3 linked regions of the Tamandua tetradactyla genome follow. The protein of the gene in region 2 purifies or fractionates together with the protein of the main gene of each other region. This does not show direct contact. Links are inferred from orthologs where the notes say so. Each region holds a gene or a part of one and is shown on either strand. Other genes may lie near its edges. The genes, in order: GDI2, RAB8A and GDI1.

The links.
Region 1: the proteins of RAB8A (region 2) and GDI2 purify together in Homo sapiens (co-immunoprecipitation; 5 studies listed by BioGRID and IntAct, with this or other methods). This does not show direct contact. The link is inferred for Tamandua tetradactyla from reciprocal best matches to the Homo sapiens genes RAB8A and GDI2.
Region 3: the proteins of RAB8A (region 2) and GDI1 purify together in Homo sapiens (co-immunoprecipitation; 6 studies listed by BioGRID and IntAct, counting the BioPlex papers as one, with this or other methods). This does not show direct contact. The link is inferred for Tamandua tetradactyla from reciprocal best matches to the Homo sapiens genes RAB8A and GDI1.

Annotation. Positions count from the first base shown.
Region 1 is NC_135333.1:58,228,499-58,235,744, forward strand, and holds the start of GDI2 (rab GDP dissociation inhibitor beta), read left to right. Parts: upstream 1-4,198; 5' UTR 4,199-4,443; coding exon 4,444-4,488; intron 4,489-7,246. UniProt on the Homo sapiens protein: GDP-dissociation inhibitor preventing the GDP to GTP exchange of most Rab proteins. By keeping these small GTPases in their inactive GDP-bound form regulates intracellular membrane trafficking.
Region 2 is NC_135337.1:94,766,125-94,773,589, forward strand, and holds the start of RAB8A (ras-related protein Rab-8A), read left to right. Parts: upstream 1-4,359; 5' UTR 4,360-4,426; coding exon 4,427-4,550; intron 4,551-7,465. UniProt on the Homo sapiens protein: The small GTPases Rab are key regulators of intracellular membrane trafficking, from the formation of transport vesicles to their fusion with membranes.
Region 3 is NC_135353.1:6,666,653-6,674,437, reverse strand, and holds the start of GDI1 (rab GDP dissociation inhibitor alpha), read right to left. Parts: upstream 3,052-7,785; 5' UTR 2,955-3,051; coding exon 2,910-2,954; intron 1,842-2,909; coding exon 1,734-1,841; intron 1,586-1,733; coding exon 1,486-1,585; intron 1,359-1,485; coding exon 1,224-1,358; intron 715-1,223; coding exon 516-714; intron 232-515; coding exon 100-231; intron 1-99. Other genes in the region: ATP6AP1 (V-type proton ATPase subunit S1), read right to left, coding at 4,250-4,459, 4,608-4,839, 4,926-4,973, 5,630-5,865, 6,255-6,340, 7,174-7,214, 7,783-7,785. UniProt on the Homo sapiens protein: Regulates the GDP/GTP exchange reaction of most Rab proteins by inhibiting the dissociation of GDP from them, and the subsequent binding of GTP to them. Promotes the dissociation of GDP-bound Rab proteins from the membrane and inhibits their activation.

The sequences.
Region 1 (7,246 bases), on a different chromosome or scaffold from region 2:
TTAAGCTGATACCTAAGGAAGTGGAAAATGATAGATATGTGAAAGCTGCAGGAGAGGAAGTAGAGGTTGGTAGCTATGGGACCCAAAAGAGCACAGATGCCCTTGGGTGGTTAAGATCTTGGCCAGATTCCAGGAACTGAAAGACTTGCACGTTTGGGGTGTAGTGAGCAAGGAGCATATCACTAAAGATAATGCTGAGAGATATAGAGGCCAGATTAAACAATTCCTTGTTGACCATATTAAGGAACTGGCAAATTTATTCTAATGTGAAAGATATGTAGAAGCATCAACATGACCAGATTCACCTTGTAATAAGACAATAGAATAGATAGGAGGAGAGTCAAAAGTGGGAAGTAGACCTGGCCAGGAAACTGCTGCCAGTTCTCTCCAGTGGTCTAGGAGAGAGAAAAAGGTGGCTTGCTCTAATATTTTCTTTGCTTAGATTTAGTCTCTTCCTTTGTGAAGTGCAGATGGAGGCCCAGTAGAAACATCAGCCAACTATTTCCAACTACCCATATATAAATTCGATCCCCACTGAACTCCTGCTTTGTGTAGAGATCTGACATGTTTTCAATCAACTTACTTCCCCCAGACCTAAGTTTCACTCTAGCAAGAACTGCCTTCTGGACTCAGACTCGGATGAGAGGACCTCTGATGGTGTTGTGACCCAGAACAAAACTAATAATTCAACAGCAAGTGTCACGGTTTCTGCTGCCACTAGTATTGAACCCATTTCTGCTAGGAAAGTATTGCCAATGTCCATTGCTAGACATGAAATAGCAGGGATGATAAATTCAGATGCTGACATTAATGAAGATTCACCTCCTCCACTACCCGAAAGAACTCCTGAATCTTTTGTATTAGCAAGTGAACATAATACAACTGTCAGATCTGAATGGAGTGAACTTCAAAATAAGGAACAATCTGAACCAAAAAATCTGAAAGCCTGATAACCTCTAGAAATGAAAAATCTGATCATCCAGCAGAAGGGGTTCACAGAGACTAGTATAGAATGTTCACTTACTTTCAGTGAGAAGAAAGATCAAGTATCAGAAAGCCCAACAGAAATCAAAGATAGTGGTGGAAAACCTAAAGGACCAAGAGATTCACCTTCAGAACGGACATGATGCAGGAAGATAAAAAGACTTCAAATTATAATGGAAAAATTCAAGTGCCTCTGAAAGCCAGATTTATAGTATTCCATCTTAAAAATGTGGGACTAACAGCAGTGTAGATTGTTACCTTAATATCTTTTGCTGGGACCATCTACCTGCCTTATACTACACTTAAGAAAAAGTATTACATATGGTTTATTTTGTAACTTCAAGTATTATTGCCTTAATGTCTCTTAACCCTGTTACACACTGCTTGTAAACATGTCAATATAGTTATACTTTTATGATAAATATTGAGTTTAAGAACTACTCTTTTGCTAATGTTTTATCATGTATGTGTTATTTTGTATATGTACAGGGGAAGTAGGTATATATTTGATAAGGCTGAAGTCATAAAATATTATTAATAGACGATGTAAGAAATCTCTGCATGGTCTAAATCTTTGTGTACCTTACTTGCAAATTATTTGCCCTGAAGTTTTAGAAAATAGTTTCTGAATTTAAAAACTGCTGGATTCATGCAGCCAGCATTGCAGGTTATCAGAGATCAAAGACTGTAATAATATTTTGTAAATTGTAAGCAAAAAGTTATTTTTATATTATGTACTGTCTGATTGTCCATCCTAATTGTTCTTGTTTCACATCTAATCATGGAGATTCAGTAAGTGTCTTGCAACAATATTGAATTCCCTTAGCTTGTGAGTGTTACTTTAATATTTTAACTGAATTGGGATTAGAAGACTATCAAAATATATGTATGTTTCAGGATATTGGACTTGACATTAAAAAAAAAAAACACAGTTTTGCAGTGCCAAAAAAAAAAGAGAACTGCCATCTGTGGCCTGCTTTGCACTGAACCATTTAGTGGCTTTTAAGCCACTTCAACACAAAGAATATTTGTTAATTGTTGCCAAAGTTCCTTGTCAAGTTACCAAGTTCCTTAGATGGAGGTGGAAGACCCAAGAATTTGGAAAGACTTGATCTGTTGATCATGTGTAGTTTTTTTTATCCTTCTGCAGGGCCAAAAGACCTAGTATGACCAACAAGCAAATATTAAGACTAAGCCTTATTAGCCTTAAATTCAGATCCTTCAACCCAAGTCCTTAATCTTTCAGTAACTCCATCTGAATATCGATGAAATATCCTTCACTTAAAACATGATCACATAATTCAGCTGATAATGCTTAAAACCCTCTTCAACACCCAGATACCGATGGCTATACACGAAAAAGGCTCTTTATTACTATTGTTACTTTTAAAAAGCAGAATCCTGATTACTTTTAGAAAGATAAAACAACAAACAGCAGGAGCTTCTTAAGGTATCTGTTTAGGAAATAGAAAGTCAATTGCACCAATGGCTGTATAATTGGTTCAGTATTCTAGTAAACTTTGCACCTGATTTTGTAACCTTCTGAAAGTGCATTCGTTCACTAATGTTTACAAATTCAGTTAACGTTGTATTTAAGAGCTTGCTCCCTCCTCCCTTACTCCTCCCCAAAAAGTCCACTGTCCATTATAACATACTTTCCTAAACTGTCTCTATGGGGTGAAGAAACAATGTAAAAAATCGTTACCGTTTATATGTGTGAAGATTTCTCAATAAAAAAATACATTTTTAAAAATTTACCTTCTTTCCTCAATCTGAAAGATTTATACGGAAGGGAAGGGAAATCCTAGTGCCAAGATTCATTTTGAATAGGTCTTTTCTAGCTATAGTTCAGTAAATCTTGAGGAAAATAGCAAATCCATACTGTCTGCTGAGTGTGCAATTCATTCATGGCAGAAAGCCCAAGTTTACAACTATCAGTGCCTTTAGGAAAATCACTTGTCTTGAAGGTCTCTCTTCGGGTTAAGAGAACGCAAGCCACTATTTAACATCTGTCTTCAAGCCCAAAGGTGGAAATTCCTGTGAGAATCCTAAAACGTGAGGGGATGAGGCGCAAGGGGAAATAAAGGCTAAACCCCCTTTCATTTCCTGGTCAGCTATTTCTATAGCTGGTTTAAGTTATAGCTCTCAACAGGCAGGGGTAGGTCTGCTTCCAAATCACATCTCACTTTCCCTTTTATTTGTGCTAAGGGTTACTTTTCATTGATACGTATATATTATATACTCACATACCATGTAATCATTCAAAGTGTACACTCAGTGGTTTCACAATATCATCAATAAGGGTTATTTTTTAAAAAGAGGCGCTTTTTTTTTTACCCCAAATTTCTAAGGACGCACACGGGCAGGTACGTCACCACGCAAGAATGACGTAGTGGGAAATACTGTAAAACACATAGAAGGTCCGAACTCCCAAAAATGTTGGATCATTTTCCCTTTGCTTTTCAGAAAAGTGAAGCAGGAGGAAGAGAAAAGTGAAACAGAAACTAAGTTACAAGTAACAAACATGAGACCCTGCACCTAGCACTCCGGCACCCCGAGGCAGAGAAGCTGTTTGGGCGCCGAGAGCACCCGCCCAGTGGTAACGCCAAAGGCTAGTCTGCCCATCCCGCCTGCAGGTTGCAGCGGGTGTCTGGCCACGTTCTGTAACCTCCCCAGCCAGCAATCCCAGACCTGGCATGAAAAGGGGCTGCAAATCCTTGAGGAACGACAGCCGGGGATGAAGGGCCGTGACGCAGTCCGCGTTCCTGAACATGCGGCAACCTGAGCACCCCACAAGTCCCCCGACCCAGCGGTGCCCCGAGAGCTCCGTCTGTCCCACGTGGCCGCAGGCAACACCAGAAAGCGCACACCGGTTCAAAGTCCAAGGGCGGCAGTAGGGGACAGGGAGTTGGGCCGCGACTGCATTCCCAGAAAGGCTTAGGGCCACTCTCCTCCTTCATCCGGCCCAACCGACTCCCCAACCCCCGCCCCGCCCGGAGTGAGGTCGCCTCCGCTCCCCAACCACCGTGGCAGGGACGAAAAGGGGAACCGGAACTCGAGATGCCTACGCTCCATTTTCTTCTCGCGCGAGGTAGGAGAGGAAGAAGGTTGGGCAAATGATGGGGACGTAGCCAATGAACGAGCGGGAGGGGCCTGATTGACGGCTTCCCGCTAGGTCCCTCCCCCGGGCCGAGAAGGGCTGCCGTCTCCTGCCCCGCCTTCCCCCCTTCCTATCCCTTCCCCCGCCTTACGAGCTCTTCTCTTCCCTTCTGAGGTGGCGGCTGAGTTCGTCTCCTCTTCAGCTCCATTTTACCGCTGGTCCTATTTGCCCTTCTCTCTGTTCTCGAAACCGGTCTGAGCGTTTCCTCCGTCTCCTCCGCATTGGTAGAGAGATTCCCTTTCTCGAGAATCCCTGCGCCTTCACCTTCGCGTCTTCTATTCTCTCTCTCTTTCCCCGCCATGAATGAGGAGTACGACGTGATCGTGCTGGGCACTGGCCTGACGGTGAGTCTCAGGCGACGGCCGCGGCCGAGGCGCTCGGGAGGGAGGAGGCCGTCAGTTCCGAGATGATCCGGGCGGCCGGACTGGGCCAAGGAGGGGAGATAGGGGCGTCGTGCAAGGGCGGATGGGCAGTGCCAGGGAGATCCGGGTGGCCCGGCCACTACGTGCCCTTACCCAGGCGGCAGCCTTTCGACCTCCTTGGCCAGCTCGTCTTGTTGCTACCGGCACTGTTCTCTTGCTCCTCCGACCTGTGGCTGGAGGAGGCGTGGGCTCTCCCTCCGGCGCGAGGACTCACAACCTGCCGGCCTTTCTTTTCCCGAATCCCGGGTTTGCGGTGACTGCCTAGGGCCAACCGCCTTGCAATTTCGTGTGTCTACGTTGATACTTTCTTTATTGGCCTGCTCTTCTTTTTCTTTTCTTTCTTCCTTTTTTTTACGGGAAGGTATTGTCGAAGGGTGTTGGGAAAGGTTTTCGCTAGTTGGGTGCATGAGTTTGGAAGGAGTTGCAACCCGCGGCAGTATCCAGCACTCTCCTAACCTCATGGCAGCCTAGGTTGGTGGAGTGTGTTGTCTCTAATGTGGAAGGAAAGACCAGGAAATTGAAAACCCAGGACTTTAGTTTGAGGAGCCAGTTAAGTACATGATGAAACACTAAGTTTGAGATAAAAGTAGGTGGAAAACGAGAGTTTCACTAGAATTAATACAGAATTAAAAAGGAAAGAAAAAAGAAGCCTGGATAGGGGTATCAAACGCTTTTCCACCTGCCTTTGGGTTGTTAAGCTCTCCGGGTTGGAAACGGAAAAGCGCAAGGCAAAGTGGGGGAGGGTGGAAGCCACTCGCAGTTGCATTTCCTATTTAGCCTGCAACTGCTACTAGTCAGTCTTTGGCCGCCAAGGTTAGGTAAAAGGTTTTGTGACAAGTCGTCTGGACAATTACAGTTTTGTAATTGTTAGAGTTTAATTAACTTAAAAGTTTGGAGGAAATAAATTTTGTGGTTTTTTTTTTTAACCTTCCCCTCCAGCACAAAATAAGAAGCATTATCCATTCCTTTTAACCTCCCTCCCCTCCTACTTTTTGAGCGTTCATAGAATGGGAATGAGTTTGTTTTCTCAAAACTTGTCTGTCAGATGTTTTGCCGTCTTTTCCTTTTGTTTGGTTTGCCCCTGCCTCCATCGTCTCTTCCACATGTTTTATCCTAAAGAGATGGATTGATGATGGATTGCTAGAGGCCAAGTTCTCTCTCTGCTGCCATACTCTTCCGGGATTTAGAAGACAAATCAATAACAGCATTAAGAATCGATAGTAATAGGAATGCAAGGCTTTCTTAATAGTATGGTATATTCATTTTCCTGTGTATCTGTCTGTTTAGAGATCTGGAGATAGTCTGCAAATAATTCAGGCGGGTGTTTTATCTTTTTTTTTTTTAAGTATTTTTCTTGAGGTAGAGTCACATACATACAGTCCATCCAAAGTATATAATCACTGGCTCACAGTATCATCACATAATTGTGTATTCATCACGATGATCATTTTTAGAACATTTGCATCACTGCAGAAAAAGATATAAAAAGAAAAAAACACACATCCCATACCCCTTTACTCCTCTCTCATTGACCACTAGTATTGCAATCTGTCCACTTTTTTTTTACCCCTTACCCCCTTCCACCTCCATTATTTATTTATTTTTGTCCTTATTTTTTTACTCATCTGTTCATACCCTGGATAAAGGGAACAACAGCCACAAGCTTTTCACAATCATGCAGTCATATTGTAAAAGCTATATGGTTACACAATCATCTTCAAGAATCAAAGCTATTGGAATACAGTTCAACAGTTTCAGGTACTTTCTTCTAGCCACTCCAGTACACCATAAACTGAAAAGGGATATCTATATAATGCATAATAATAACCTCCAGGATAACCTCTTGACTCTGAAATCTCTCAGCCACAGAAACTTTATTTTGTCTCATTTCTCTCTTCCCCCTTTTGGTCAAGAAGGCTCTCTCAGTTCCATAATGCAGGGTCCTAGCTTATCCTGGGAGTTGTGTCCCACATGCAGGGGAGGGCAGTGAGTTTACCTGCTGAGCTGTCTTAGAGAGGTCACATCTGAGCAGCAAAAGAGGTTCTCTGAGGGTGAAGGTGTGTCTTGTATTTCTTTTTTTTCATGCTCTTTTAAGAAAAGGAAAACGGTTATTCTTGTAAAACAGTTCCATTTGAAGGCAGGACCAGTTTGAGTATCAGACTCCTTTGGACATTTGAAATTCTACCTTATGGCTACTTCTTGTCTTAAGCAGAGCACTGATGTATATCTTGTGTATCCTAATCAATCTAACCTCAAATTCCGTAGTCATTTGATGCAAAACACAAATTCAAATTGGTAGAAACACATTGTAATCCCTCAGGACAAATTAGTATTTTTTTGAAGTAACACCACAAAAGAACTACTTTAGGTTTTTCTAAGCAAGAGGAAACCTTCAAATTCTTATTTGGCCAATTTTATAAGAAAAGATTGTTAAGAATTAGCACTGCATCTTTCTCATCTTGTCATATTTCTCTTCATAGTAATTTAGGGTGATTGTTGAAAAGTACTCATTTCTAAAGGCTCCATTATGTTTGACCCGAAGAAATATTACCAGATAGATGAGATTACTTACCTACAGAGTTATTTACAGTTTTTGAATGACAGATTCAGTTGAATTTCATTTTTGGTAGTGAGTTGGAAGACTGTTAGGACCCTAGATCACTAGGCCTACCCCCTGCAT
Region 2 (7,465 bases):
CGCTATTACCTTCACTTTGGCATTTTGGGTTTGGAAACCTTCTTTTCCCTCTGTTTTATAAAAATGCATATTAATTTCATTTTCCCCCTGTTTTCTTAATCCTCACCAGAAAAACTTGCCCAGGCCAAAGAAGAGAACGTGGGCTTACATCAGACACTGGATCAGACGCTAAACGAACTTAACTGTATATAACCAAAACAGAAGAGTCTTGTTCAGAGCTCCGGTCTTTCTCTTCTCTTGTAAGAAGTTTCTTTCGTTATCGCATCTTTCTCTTTGCTGGAAATGTCGAGCAAACCTATGAATCCATGACCAAATATTTTGTTATCAGAGACGCTTTGAGCACCTGTTAAGTTTAATTCCTTCCTCTTTTCCATGGCACTGGCTTTCTCAGCTCTCTTTTTACCCTTATGTTGCATTTATTCCTTAGGCAGGGTATTTGGTTCCTGGGAGACTAGACAACCCCACACTTTCAAGAATACAGACTCCAATATCTAGTCATGGGTCAACTTAAAAGGCTGAAGAACAGAACCATTTGGGCTCACCTTTGGTCACACTACAGGAGGCGAGGGACCATCACATTAGAATGGGTGGGGATTTTCCATCCAGAGCAAGAAAGAAAGAAAAGAAAAAAGGACTCTTAAGGAAAGTCATAAACCACATGCAGAGTAGCCTAATCATCTTGGCTGTTCTCCACACTCCACTGTACACAGCAAACATCCTCTGAGCAGTCAGCATGGAATGCTTGGGAAACAGTCATAATAATAACCCACATTTTCTGGATAGATCCTTGACGTTTATTTCATTCTAAAGTTGGCCTCTGGGGAGCAGATGGCTTATTCCAATAATGCCCCTTGGCTGCCTACCCTATTCAGTAAGGCCATCCGCTCTGGAGGAATGGATATGGCAAAGTTCAGAACAATTCACGGCTGCCATATCAAAGAGAATGCAAGCCATCAGTAAATTGGGCAAAAGGATTTTTGTTTTTTTTTAATCAACAAATACCAGGCAGAAGGGGTCTCTCTGGCAGCAAAGCTGGAATGAAAAGGCTACTGACCCAACTTCATCTCCATAGTTCAGAGAATGGCAAATTGAAGATTTTTAAATTTAGGACTTTAATTCCTTCTTCGGGATCAAGTGAGTAAAAGACCAAGAAACTCCTGATTAAACTGGATTTGGAGCATTTTGTAGACAGAACTGCACATTTTACCTTTGCGATAGTTCTGCTTTCTCAGTTAACATCTCAGAACTGAAACATTCCACATTCCCCAGAAGTGTGGGGGCCAACTCAAGTTTACAATTCCGGCTAAAAAGTGACCCTGCTTCTAGTTTATCCAAATCCCCTGCCCCTCACTCCTATTTATTAAGCATCACACTACCCAGGAGATACACTAGCAAACTGAGCAACTGAATAAAACCCACACTTTCTTGCAACTGTATCATATGTAATAGTATCACTTTTTCTACATTTTGGCCAAATAAATTTTTACATAAACTACAATGTGTGTGAATTTTGGGATGTGTAGGGGAGTAAAAGGCACTTTGGGTCTCAATAGCCAACAAATGTTAATGAGAAGGAAAAGAAGATTACCGTGCCAAGAACTTAGTTAATGTTATTTATTTGCTTTATACCATGATTTCATGATGCAAGGATTATGAGTGCCACATGACACATGAGAGCATTTTGCCTCAGGAACTCAAATGCTTCTGCCCTGTGTCATTCCCGGTCCTGCTCAAGCCGCGCTGGGAAGATGGTCCCGTTATCTGCTAGGGCGAGGTTTCCTGTGTGTTGGACATCAAAAGGAAAGTCAAAGTGAGAAAGCAGGAAGGTAGGCTGGGTTCAGACCGATGAGAATCTGGAGTCAATTTGGTCAGGAGTGGAGTGTGGCTGACGACTTGAGTGATCACAGCAGTATAGTAGGAAAATCAACTTAAGCGTTTTGTTTTCAGGCAGGAAGATGTTTCAATAATCCAGGATAGTGGTTGCCAATAGGAGGCAAGAGATGGCCTGATGGAAATAGCCTTAAGAGTAGCTGACTGCATGGCGGGGAGCTTGGAGAAGAGGGTGTCAGAGACCACTGCAGTTTCACTACCTGAACTGCTTTGGCATCCTGCCTCAAGAGCTCCTTAACTGGGGGTGGGGAGGGAAGGAAATGCATCAAAAAGAGAAGTGAAAGCTTTTCAAAAAGTTAAATACAGGATGCCAGCAATTGTTATCAAATGCAGTGAAAAGCACTTCCCTCATATTAACATTGTCCTGACACTGAGCCTGGTTAGAGGGTAGATGCCATGAATAATGTATAACGCACAGCCCCCTCCCCTGCCACACCACTGCGTGATTGAAGTTTTCTCTTCGCTGTTCTGTTCTCAGCCTTCCCACCACCACCTTCTCTCTGGAAACTGTTTTACTCAGTCCTGTGCCTCAGCACGTAGCTTAAGTGCTCACCGCCTGTTAACCCAACCCACTCCAGCTCTCCGCAACCGCCCACCCCTGTGGCACACGGGTGGATCGCAGGGTGAGGTGAGGGCCAGACTGTGGCGGGGGGCAGGGGTTTGTACACTCAGTAAAGGTTCTGGGCTTTACCCTGCTCAGGGAATACTGAAGGATTTCAACCAGGGGGATGGCTATGCTTAGAGGACAGTGTCTTGGGATGAACTCTGCAGGATTGGGAGAGACCGGCAGGGAGATGTGAGGGCCTGGCTGTGACTCTGAAATGGAGGAGGAGGATTCGGGAGCTATTCAGAACCTCCCCAAGAGCCCGCAGGTAAGGGGTGAGGAGGTGGTGGCCACAAAGGCAGGTTTCACACAGAAGACAGTTCTGGACCAGCAAGCTGGAGTGGAAGACGATGAGTTCAGCGGTGCACACGCTGAGTTGAAAGCACTTTTGACAAATCCAGCGGTAGAAGTCAAGGCCCCCAGAGACGCAGGGATGGGGAGGCGATGAATGAAAAATTGAACCATCCTTGGAGGCCTGGGAAGTCACAGAGTGAATGAGAGGCCCCGAAAATGCGAACAGAGGGCTCGGGACATAGAGCCACAAGGAGCTCCGCTCAAGGCACAAGCCGACATCTGCCCAAAGGCGCTGACGGGGTGCGACGCAGCACCCAGAGAGAGGCAGAACTGGGTGCGGGCCACGGGCCGGCTGGGGAAAGCGCCGAGGAAAAGAGCCTTTCCAGAGGTGACCAATGGTCAGAACAGCGCCGAGGCTGCGGCCTGAAGCGTTTCTTGAGCAGAGCTAGACGGGCCATCCTGGAGCCAGGCCGAGCCTCTCCTGGGAAGGACCTTAAGGGCTTCCAGCAGCCTCTCGCGGTGCCCCGGGGGCGGCCTGAGGCGCGAGGCCAGGCTGACAGCCGGCACGTCGGCGAGGCGGCTCGGGCTCTGAGAGGCGGGAAGGGGAGCGATCCAGGGCTCGGGGTCTGCAGCTGGCCCCCGCCTCGGGTGCAAAACCCATCTTCACACACCTCCGTAGCAGGGAAAGTGACCTGTCGCCGGCCTCCCTTTCCTCCGCACGCAACGGGGATCAACAATCAACATCGGCCTCGGGTCAGTGCGAGGGTTCAAGATATGAAGTGTTGAGAAGGCGGCCTGCGCGCCTCCCCTGGCCCCTCAGGCCCCCGAGCGCGCCTCCGAGGGCGGACGGGGCGTGGGGACAGATCTCGGGGGTCCCCACAACCTCTGATTAGGTCCGCGGGCCCGTCCTGAGGAGGCCCACGCGCCTCAGGGGACTGGGGTGGCGGAGGCCGGGTTATCCCCAGGCGGGCTCCCAGGCCGGCGGAACTCCCGGAGCACATCTCCAGAGGCCGCTCCTCGACCGCGACGAGCGCCCTTTCCCTGCTTTCCTCTTCAGCACCCCGAGACCCAACACCAAGGCTTCCAGCCGCCGCCTCCGCCCACCGTCCCTTCCCGCGCTCGCCCCGCCGTCTACTGAGCCTGCGCGGACTCTGAGGGCGGACCCCGGAGACATCCCTCCCGCCCCACCACGCGTGTGCGCCCTCTGCTGGCGCCCAACGGTCTCCCCAGGGCGCGTGCGCAGTCCTTAGACCCCGCCCCCGAGCCTCCGGCGCACAGGGCCGTTGGCGACGCTCCCTGCCCTCCACCCCTCCCCTAAGGGGGCGGGGCCTCCCCAGAATTGCGGGCGGGAAGGCGTGGCCACTGGAGGTCACGCCTCCGTCCCGTTCCCCGTTTGAAGGCCGTCGACTACTCACCGCTGGCCAATCGTAGCGCGCCCTATCCCGAACGCCGGCCAATGGGAGGCGCGCTGGGACCGCTTCCGGCCCCGCGCGTTGGGCGGGCCTCGGGGGCGGGCGTCGGCCGCGATGACGCTCGGCGGGCCGGGAGCCAATGGTGGGCGGGCTCGGCGCTGATGGACGGGGCCGGCGACCAGTGGCGAGGAGCCGGCCGCACTTCCCGTCGGAGACAGAGTGTAATATGGCGAAGACCTACGATTACCTGTTCAAGCTGTTGCTGATCGGGGACTCGGGGGTGGGGAAGACCTGTGTCCTGTTCCGCTTCTCCGAGGACGCCTTCAACTCCACGTTCATCTCCACCATAGGTAACGCGGCCGGGGAGCGGCCGGGGCCTCTGTGGGGACGCCAGAGGCCCGGTCCGGGCGCGCCCCTGAGGAGCAGGTGGGGAGGGCGGAGGGGTCGGAGAGCGTCAGGGGCCCTGAGGGGCGGAGAGCCCCCGCCTCCGCTTCCCCTCGGGGGCTCCACGGGCCGCAGGGAGCGGGGCGAGTGCCCATTTTGCAGGTGGGGTAACTGAGACTCCCATCCTCAGCCTCTCGTCTAGGAGTGTCTGTCGTGGCCTGGGGTCTTCGCGCCCGTCCTCTCGTTCTGTGCTCGCAGCACACCTCCAGGCGGTCCTTTGGAGGCCCCCCGACGTGCAGAACTGGACACTGAGGCTTGGGGAATTGACCGTGGGGTCGGGACTCGCTGAGCCCCTGTTCTTGTGGCCAGGCTCTTTCTGTGCATTCTCACGCCCCGAGCAGAACTCTGCGTTACAGAGGAGACTGAGGGGAGGAGTAGGGACTTACCCAAGGTCACACGGTCTGCAGGTAGCAAGGATGGGTTTAGAACCCAGGGGTGCCTGACCCCAAAATGCCGGGGGCAGCTGTCGCAGATGGACGCCAGCACACAGCCCTGAGACCCCAGAGCCATGTCCCCAAATTGAGCCCTCTCCTTTGTCCTGTTTCCCATGGGTGAATTTTTTGTCTAGAAGGAGCAGTGAGAGGGAGTTGGTGACCTTTCCCTGCCCTGCCTTCCATCCCAGTCGAGGGTGACAGCAATGACGGGTGACAGCTGTCCACCCTGGGATCCTCATCTGCAAGGAGTTGCCAGATAAAAAAGCCTCAGTGAGAAACAAAAACCAGCCTCCGCCGCAAGCAGCCTCGGCTTCCCTATCGCGTGGCCCAGGATGTCGGTTGTCACTTTGCAAAAGAGGCTTTCCCACACAGCCAGCCCACATTGTGGTTGAGCAGAATTGGCTGGTTGCACCTCAGTTCTGACATCCACCAAAATGGAGCTGACTTCTCTTTGCTCCACAAAGCAGTCATTGCTCACTTGAGAAAGCTGGATCTGTCAGGAACATCGACCAAACGGAGTGGCCTCAGCCAGAGCTGAGAGTTTAGCTGAGTGGAGAAAACCTAGTGGGTGGGTTTTGTTTTATCCCCGTGTAACTTTGACCAAGTCGTTGTTTCTCCTCGAACCCCATGACGAGGGTGCTCAATCCATCCTTGTCCTTCACCTAGAGCGCCGTAAATCAAGTCAAGTGTTAGATGTAAGGTAGAGAGCGTTGGACCAGAGGGCATCAGACCTGCCTTCCAGTAGCTGTTTGGCCTTGGAGGAGTCCCTCCACCTCTCCGAGACCGATGTCTTCAGATTAAGAGCAGAGCTCTCTGCCTTGGCCAGGCCTGGGGCTGAGGATCAGAACTCCACCTGGACTAAGAGGTCGAGACCACCTAGAGGCAGCAGGATGGCTCCTGAGGTGGTAGCATCTCCCTGGGCACAAGTGTATCAGAATCCTCCCCCCTCCACCCTCAAGGTCAGCCCTTGGAATAACTCTTGCCTCCCCACCAACCAGGAAGTGACATTAACTCCTGGCCCACTGTGCTCAGCCCCAGACCTCAGTTTTCCAGCTTGTTCCTCACGTGCCCCAGTGAGATAAATTCTGAACTTGAGTTTTTCATTTGGATTTTAAATCTTCAACCCTGAAACCCCATGCAGCACCTTTAGGGCCCCAGGAAGGAGGCATCTGGACTATTCCATTCACGGACAAGAATACAGCTCTCTCAAGGTCATGCGGAAAGGTGGAGGTGGAGTTGAACTCAGCCTTCTCCCCGCCACCCCAATATTCTTCCTATCACATGTGTAATTTTGCTGCAGCTCTCTGTCTGCCCGGGAAGGTTAAATTTGCCGTTACCTTGAAGTCATGGCCTCATAATTCTTAGCCCTCATAAACTTGCTGCATCCTAATTAAATCTGGTGTGCTCGTAAAACCTAGGAGATGTGCAGAGCAGAGTGCTGTCTTGGACTCTGCATATTCAGCCGTGCATCTCGATTTCCTGGATCCCAGTACATCTGTGTCAGGAAGTAGAGAAATGTTTAGGACAAGCCAACATTGGGCTTCTAAGTCCTGAAATATGACTCAGTGCATAAAGGTGATTTCTAGATTGGCACTGCCTGTATCCCTGGGTTTTCTTTGTAGATCAGAGCTTGCGTGGCTGTTCATTTGCTGCCCAGGGGATGTTTTGCCAGAGGCTCTTCTCATCAGCTCCATTGATTGCTTGTGGTGTGGACTTGGCCTGTGGCTCCTGGAATCAGTTCTCGGTGACCGGGCTGTGTTCACCCAGCACCTCCTCGGGGCCCGTTCATTCCTGCAGTGAGATAGATGATGTCCGGGAAAGGCTTTCATGATCCTACAGCTCCACACACGCCCTGTTGCCCTGAATTCTCTCTTCCAGCCATCTTCCACCCATGCCTCCTGTGCCAGCAAACGCCTCAGGGCAGGGGCTGCAGAGGTGAATCAGGGAAGCAGACAGGTACATGAAGCCTGTGCACAGGGCTGGGCATCTGACAGGTGTTTTGTTCAGCCCCTGCCATTTTGAGCCACTGGAGGTAGAGGAGTGATTGAAACACACGTATCGCCTGCACTCAGGGAACGTATGTTCTAGTTGGTGGGGGTGGGGGGTTGTTGAATCATAGACGTCCGGTCACTTTGGTTCCCAGGACACCTCCTGAGGCTCGTGAGGGTGGAACTCGCATCCTTGGAACAGCTTCCCCTTGCTTGGGGCAGGGGCAGAGGCAGAGGCAGGGTTCAGTTATTTCACCTCCACAGGCCTTCCAGATCCATTACTTATAGTTTCCTGAAGCAAATACGCAAATGTGGAACCTCAGCGCATTATAAGTGCTCTGGACAAAACTAGGCAGGGTGAGGGGACAGAGTACAGGTGGTCAGGGAAGGCTCCCCTGA
Region 3 (7,785 bases), on a different chromosome or scaffold from region 2:
TGGCCAAGTCAACTAAGGTCATAGACGAGAAAATAGAAAACACTACAGAAACGCTGAAGTCCTACCTGCTAATACCGACTAAAGAAAGCTATGCCTCACCTTGCGAATCCCTGGGGCAGCTCACCAAGGCCATAGAGTGGGTACAAATAGGGGCTCTTGCCATACCGGGCCAGGGACTCGCTGTACAATTTGATGCGGTTGATGGTCTCAAGACAGGGTTGGTCCAGGTAGCTGAGGGGACAGGGGAGGGAATACTTAAGACAGGAGAACCCCCAGCTTACCCAAACCCAGGCACCAGGTCATCCTCCCTACCACCCTAGATGGTCTGGGGAAAAAATATGGGTCAAATCCAGGGATGGGAGGGAAGGACAGCAGGCTGAGTATGTGAGGGATATAGAAGAGGTGGGAGGAGTGAATAGAGAGAGGAACAGGCTGGCATGGGGGTACAGAACATCCAGGGATGTTCCTGCTGCCACAGAAAGGAAGCCCTGCGCCCTGTCCCAGCTTCCCCTCACTCATCAGTGCGATAGAGCGCCAGGGCGTGGCCAGTGAAGTCAATGACATCCTGGCCCAAGTCAAACTTTCGGTAGACGTCACGCATGCTGGTGGTCTGAGGGTCGACCCCTTCAAAGGTCTTGGGGTCGTTCTCATCAAAATTTGCCACAAACACCAAGAACTTGCGGAAGCGCCGCTTCTCAAACATGCCCATCAGATCTGCGGGAAACATTATAATAAGATGCACTAGGCATTGAAAGTAAAGCTCCTCTTTCCCCCGCGGTAGAGCCAGCAGCCAGGAACCCGCTCCTGGAGGAGTACTGGCACTGAAGCTGTGGGACCTTAGATTAAGCTCTCTACCCCTCTCAGCCTCGGTTTCCCCATCTGTACAAAAGGGGGTTGAGTGGGACAGACTTTAAGGGCCCTCCCTGTTACCACACTTAGGGTTCCTGGGTCAAATAGAGACTATTTCAAAGGCTGAAGTTTCTCCCAGGGAGTCTCCTCTCCACCCAGCCTCCGTGTCTGACTTCCCTTCCAATGTTGAGCCTGAGGAATCGTGAGAAGGGCAGTGAGGGATGACAGAGCAAGGGGCCTTGAGTACACTACTGCCTACAGAATGCAGCCTAAGGCCGGCCAGGCACTCCCTATTCTTGTCAATCAACTTCTACCCATATAGAGAACGCCCATCTCACCGGCATTGTTCCCTGGCCCAAGGCAATCACACTCACTGGAAGCCAAGGCCTCGGTCTCAGTGGACGGCACTTTGTAGATCTTGCCCCCCTTGTAGACAAAGCTGCCCTCAACAACCTTAAAGTCCAGGTAGCGAGTCACCTCAGTATACAACAGCATCTTCACCAGCTGCCCTGGGGGGTGGGTAGGGAGAGAAGAGCAAGGTGGGGGGGGGGAATCCCTCCTCATCCTCCAGCCTGACTGCTCTTCCTCTGGTCCTCCTAATCACCCTCACCCCCATTCCTCCATCATCTTCCTCACCATTGGCCATGAGAAATTTCGGGATCAGGTCAACATTCCAGTCTCGGCCCCGGCCCATTGATTCAGGGGGTCCCTCCTCGAATTGAAAACGCTTATATAGCTGCAAGCAAGAAAGAGAGAGATACCTTGAGGCCTGTCCCCTCCCTCCCTAACCCCCAACCCCAGTGGCCCAGAGAATGTGAGGTACGGCCTCGAGCCGCACGGCAAAGTTAAGCAGGAGTCTCGCCCAGGCCTGGGCCACGCCTCACCTCCTCCAAGGGTGTGATGGAGGAGCTCTCACCCCCGTAGTAGGGGTTCCGGTCCATGTGCAGCACCTTCTTCCCGTTCACAGACATGATCCCAGACAGGATACATTCCTGCAAGAAGAGGCCACCTGCCCACGTGCCCACCAGCAGCCCTGGCTGTTTCCCATCCCCACGCCTGAAAGGAGAGCCAACCCCGGGGAAGGGTCCTGCTGGGGTGGATGGCTCTTCCCATGACACCTTCCCAGGTTAGTCGCTTATCCTAAAAGTGGGGGTGATAGGTCACCTGGCTCCAGTCTCCTTTGTCACCACCTTGTGGGGCCAAAAGGGCAATAAGGAAAGAATTAACTCAGGGCCTGAGGGAGAAGGAGGGCATCCAGCAGATACGTGGACAGCCACTAGCCGGCCAAGAAAGTCTTCTGTCTATGCAGGGCCAGGACAATATGACACAACCCGCCACAGAGGAGATGGAGAGAAGAGCTAGTGGGACCACGAAGGGCCCCCTCCCCGGAAGGGAAGTGAGGAAAGGCTCGGCTCATTGCCACCCCTGCCTGGGCTGCTCTTTTTTCAGACCCTGACCCTGACCCTTCTGGGCCACGGACTGGGGGCCATGAATCCATCTGGGAAGCCGGCCCACTGGGTGCTGGGGAAGAGGGGGGAGATAAACATCCGCGCCAATCCGTGTCCCCAACCCAAGGACAAAGGCTGCGGATCCTCCTCAGCCCTAGTCTCCATGGGAAACCGGGGTGGGAGAGCGGGAAGGGGGGTGCTGCCCCCACTCCAGCTTCTTCTGGAACATTCCCTGGACTCCCTGGCCCCAGGAGACGCGAGGAAGACAGGTTATGCGGGGGCTACCCTGGCCAGCACTTCATCCCCCCGCCGGAATCAGGCAAGGTGGGAGAGGATATCGCCCGGGTGGGCTGCGTTTCCCGGGGGGGCGAAGGGAGGGGAAGAAGGCCGGGGACGCGGCGCGGGGGCGGCCGGGCTGGAGGGGCCCTTTAGAGGCGACGGCACCCCCGCGATGGGGGTGGGCGCCGTCGTGGGATGGACACCGAGGTGTCCCTTCGGAAAACGACGAGCGCAGGCGGCGTCGGGGAACGGGACCGGGAAGGGGGCGACCGGGAGCCGCATCATCGCGGGGGACGCCCGCCTGGGAGCCGGCAGGCCCCGACGCCGACTCACGGTGAGGCCGGTGCCCAGCACGATCACGTCGTATTCCTCGTCCATGGCTCAGCCCTCGGTGTCAGCGCCGGCTCCTCCTCCTCCTCCCTCACCTCAGCCGCCGCCGCCGCCGCCGCCGCCGCACTGGACCAAAGATGGCGGCACGGCTGTCAGCCGCACGACCCCTCCGCGGCGTCAAAGAGTCCCGGCCGCTCCCCGCCCCTGCCCCGCCCCCGGGCGGGCACGCCGTCCCTCGTGCGGTCCCCGGCCCGGCTGTCGGGGTCCCGGACCATAACCCTAGCGCAGCTCCCCGGGCGCGTCCGCGGAGCGGAAGGCCCCCGTGGAGGGCGGGGCAGGGACGCGCGGGCGGGGCGGCCGGTGCTGCGGCTCCGATCGGGATCCGTGCGCAGGAGCCGCGCGCCCCGCCCCGCCCCGCCCCGCCCCCCGGGAGGCTCGCGCGCGCCCCCGCGCCGTTCGGGCCGGCGTTCGCGGGTGCGCGCTGCTGCGGTGGCCCCCGCCGGGGCGGGGAGGATGGGTGGGGGGCACGAGTTGTGTTTTCCTCGGGGTTGGGGGGGGTGGGTGACGTGGTCAGGGTCCAGGCGGCCTTCCTCCCCCTCGTACCCTAACCGGCTAGGGTCCCCACCCCCGCGAGGCCTGTCCACCTGTCGGCCTGCTCCTCTCGGCCCCCGTCCCGCCCCCGCGCCGCGCGGCTTGCCCACATCCGGGCCCCTTCTCCCACAGCCCGCACGGTCCGCGGCCAAGCGCATCCCTTCTGCTCAGCGGGGAAATGAGGAAGCGGAGGCCCAAAGCAAGGCGACCCATTTTTATTTTAATGAAGGAAACACAACTGAGTACCCAGGGCTTCTGCGCCAGGCACTCCTGCTGGGGAAATGCCAGATGTCCAGTGATCGCACCCAAACCACCCGCCATGGAGGCTCCTGCCTTCCGAAACCACAGACAGAAACCCCGGTGTACTACTTATTTTTAACACGACATCACCAAACAATGTATCCTAGCAGGACGGCCAAGCAAGACAAACAATAAAAGAGCACGGCTGAGGCCCCCACATTCAGGGAGCCCCATTCAGCCTGGGAGCGTTGTCTGCGACACAAAAGCACTATAAACAGCAAAAGGTGGTGTTGGCCAGACGGGAATAAATAAGGAGAAAAGAGGGGGAAGGAACGGGTCCCTAGAACTTCCCTCCCCTCACACTGAGGGAACCCAGGAGATTTGTCTAAGATCCAGAATATGAACACCTTGGGGGTTGGAGCAGGGAGGGGGCCTCCCCTGGGAAGCCCCTCAGGGGCTGCAGAGTAGAGGGGGCAAGACAGGTTGTGGGCAGCTGGGGCTCCATGCAGGGGTCACACGATCTGGGTGAGGGAGATGGAGGGGCCCTTGTGGTCATCAAAGCGGTCCATGGTCTTGAGGCTGAGGAGCATGTGCAGGCCGTAAGTAAAGATGAAGAGCATGGCCAGGGAGGTGAGGAGGCCCATCCAGATGCCCGGCGAGAAGAAGCCTGCACAGTCGCTGGCATAGGAGAACCGCTCACCCGTCACGTTGAAGGCCTGGATCTGGGGCAGGAGCAGGACGCAAGTCAGAAACTGTGCTGGGACCTCCCAGCCTCTTCCCCCATCCCACCCTGGACAAGGCCTCTGCCACCACACCCCTTGCCGTGGCCCCGATACCCCCAATCCAGCTCGGCCCTGCCCCTATTCATACCTGGAAGTCCTGGAAAGTCAGGTCCCAGAGTGAGGGCTGAGTACGGGGCACAAGGAGATTGCCGTTCTCGGGGAGGCTGCTGACGTACTGGCAGTGGAAAGAGTAGTTGCTGGGCCCGGTGACCTGGGAGGCATTGAAGTAGATGATGGAGCCATTGCTGTGGATTTCCAGGCGCTCCAGGGTAAACCAGTACCGGGCCGACACCGGGTAGAAGCGGTTAGCCAGAATGAACCTGGGGGAGGGCCCAGGGTAGTCAGGCGTGCTGGGAGCCGGGCCATCCCAGCCTGCCCACACCTCTGGCACCCCCACAGGACTTACTTGAAGGTCACCATGGTACCAAAGAGCTGCTCATAGGTCAGTGCGAGCCTGAGAATCACAGTCGAAGGTATGGGGTCAGGCACAGATAGGGCCTCCTCCCACCTAAGCTGCCCCCAGGGCATCAGAGTCAGCCCAAGAGGTCATGCTGCCCACCATACAGATGGGAAAACTGAGGCCCAGAGAGTGAGAGAGACTTTCCCCCCATCACACTCCAAGTCAAGAATAGAGCTGGGGCCATAACCCAGGTCTCCCAACTCCAGTTTTGAGTTCTTTCCTCAGGTGGCCTGGAATACAGTGATCCCCTCCTCCTCCTTTCGGCTCCACCTTGGGGCTGCTGATGTGTCTGGGCTGGACTTGGCAGGTGGGGTAGAATCAAACAAAGGGTGGCAGTCTCTCTAGCCACACAGGAAGTATGCGTGAGACCCAGAACAGGGCCTGGTACCTGCCCGTGTTCACTCCAAAAGGCTCTGCTCAAGGGGAAGGCATAGGTCCCAGGTGACAGGAAAAGTATAAACAAAGGTCCAAACTGGGGAACAGAAAGCCCTGAGGTGGTAGAACTTGGAGCACCCCCCAGCTCCCCACATCCCCACAGCTACCACACCCCACAGCAACCACAGCCACGCTTGCCTCCGGCACACAGCCCCGCCTTGGGCAGGCCTATCGCCTCGGGTGCCACGGTTCCTCCCCAGCCAGAGTCCCCTTACCCAGCATAAGTATCATTCCAGAAGGAGCCGGTCAGGTTGAGATCCTGGCCAAAGGTGAGGGAGGTCAGGTCCTCTGAGTGGTCCCTGTATGACACAGAGAAGTTCTGGGCCCAGAATAGGATCCGGGGAGCTGTGTCATTGTAACTCACGGGGTGATGGGGCACTTCTGGCAGCATCTGCCTTTGTAGCAGCTGGCGACCGAGCCCCCCAGAGACCACTTCCACATCCCGGGCCACCTGTGGAAACACCCAACAGGCCACTTCTCAACAGCCTGGAACCAAGCTCCGACTCTCCTGCCCACCCTCTCCCTACAGGGCAATGCTCTCCACTGCCTCAAAGCCCCACTGGATGGAGGCAAAGGGCTCTCCTCCAGCCACCCCTCGAGCCTTGCTCATATCCATAATCCCCTAAATGTAGGAAGCACTCTGCTTATTTTCATAGTGTGCTAACTCGTAAGGTTCAGAGGGCAAGATTAAAGACCACTGGCTAGAGGAGGAAGGACTAGAACCTTACTCTTCAACGCCCCCCCCCACAAAGATGCTCCACACATAGCCTTTACCCAAAGTTCCCTTGACACTGGACTCTCCGGGAGCCCGGGTTCTCCTCACAGGAAGAGGGCACGTACCCGGGAAGGGCGGATGGCCGTGAGGGCTGCTGTGTACGGGACGTCTTCCGACTGGAGCATGCTCAGTACCTGCCCTATGACCTCGTCTGGGGGGAGGTGGGGAGAGCAGAGAAGCAGGTCACACAGCTGCCCCGTTCAGAGAACTACTTCCCCCCCCAACCAGGCTGTGAAACATCTCCAGCCCCACTGGAAAGTTCCAGGCTGCAGAGGTGTTGATACATCACTCGGCCACCTCACACCAAGGAACATGTGCTGTCAGGTGGTCCCCCTACTGATGAGGCTCAGTTGGGTCACTGGATGGCAGTGGGGCCCACCAGATGTCTCCACTGTGAAGTGCCCCCTTCCCTGCAATTGGTCTGTCACCTGTGGTGGGGGACTGAAATCCCTTTAGGGAGCCTGTTCCCTATCACCCCTCTCACCTGGCATTTTCACGAGCCACCCATGATCCCTGCCAATGGCAGCTATTTCCCAGGTTCTCTCCAGCCTCCCCTGGAACTAGAGTAGTCCTGGGCCACTCAGTGGAATAAGAATCTACATGTATTCAAAATTGCTTTTCGAAACATTATTGGTCTATTAAATATAAAACCCCAGCATTAAAAAAAAACAAAAAACTGCATTGGCTCTGCCCAAACAGCTCTCTTCAAAGACACTCAAAGACAGCACACAGAGGCTCCTTGGCCTCATGACCCAACTGCCAGGCAGAGCCCCGGCTAGTGAGCATTGAGGCCTGGGCACCACATGCAGTGTCCTGAAAGCTGCTACTAGTGGGCTGGGGCCCCACTGAGCACAAGAAGCTGAGGCACTGCTGCACCGTCTCTGCCAGCCTGCTCTTGGCAGTCCTGGCACCAGTTGGGTCCAAGGCTGGATAAAGCCAGCGAGGGGTGTCACAGAAGGGGCACCTGTCCCCAGTGCCACTCACCATTGCCTGTGAGGACTTCCTTTGGAGCCATCAGTCCAGAGCTATCAAACAGACAAGACAGTTAGCGCCCCCTCTTAGGAAGAGACAAAAGAGTTAGAGCCCCTTCTTGGGAAAAGACAAGAGAGTTAGAGCCCCTCCTTGGGGCAGCCCTGGCCCTGGGTCCCAAACAGCTGGCCTTCCTGCACCCTCCCCAACGTGGGGCTGGCCCTTCTCCCACAACTCCTGCCTCTCCACCTCTCCACAGCCCATACTCAAGGCTTACTGTCCTTTCCCACTATCCCTATCATGGAGCCGGCAAACTCCAACTAGGTGGCTCTCTGGGACCAATGCAGGAACCTGATCACAATCCCGACCCACCTTCTCCCCAGGCTGCAGAGTCCAGCTCAAGACCCTGCCACCTGCTGTTAGCAGCTCCCAGCTGTGACAGGCTGTCCCCAGCAGGACCCACACCCAGCTCATATCTGGATCCCTGGCAAGCCCAGCATGGTACTGGGATCTGACTCCTGAACCGTGGCCCAGCAGGCCGCCCTTCCCGCCGTCTGAGCACGCCTGAGGACCTGCCAGGCCTGGTGGCCGTCTGACCCAAAAGGCAGCAGGGCAGGACACTACCTG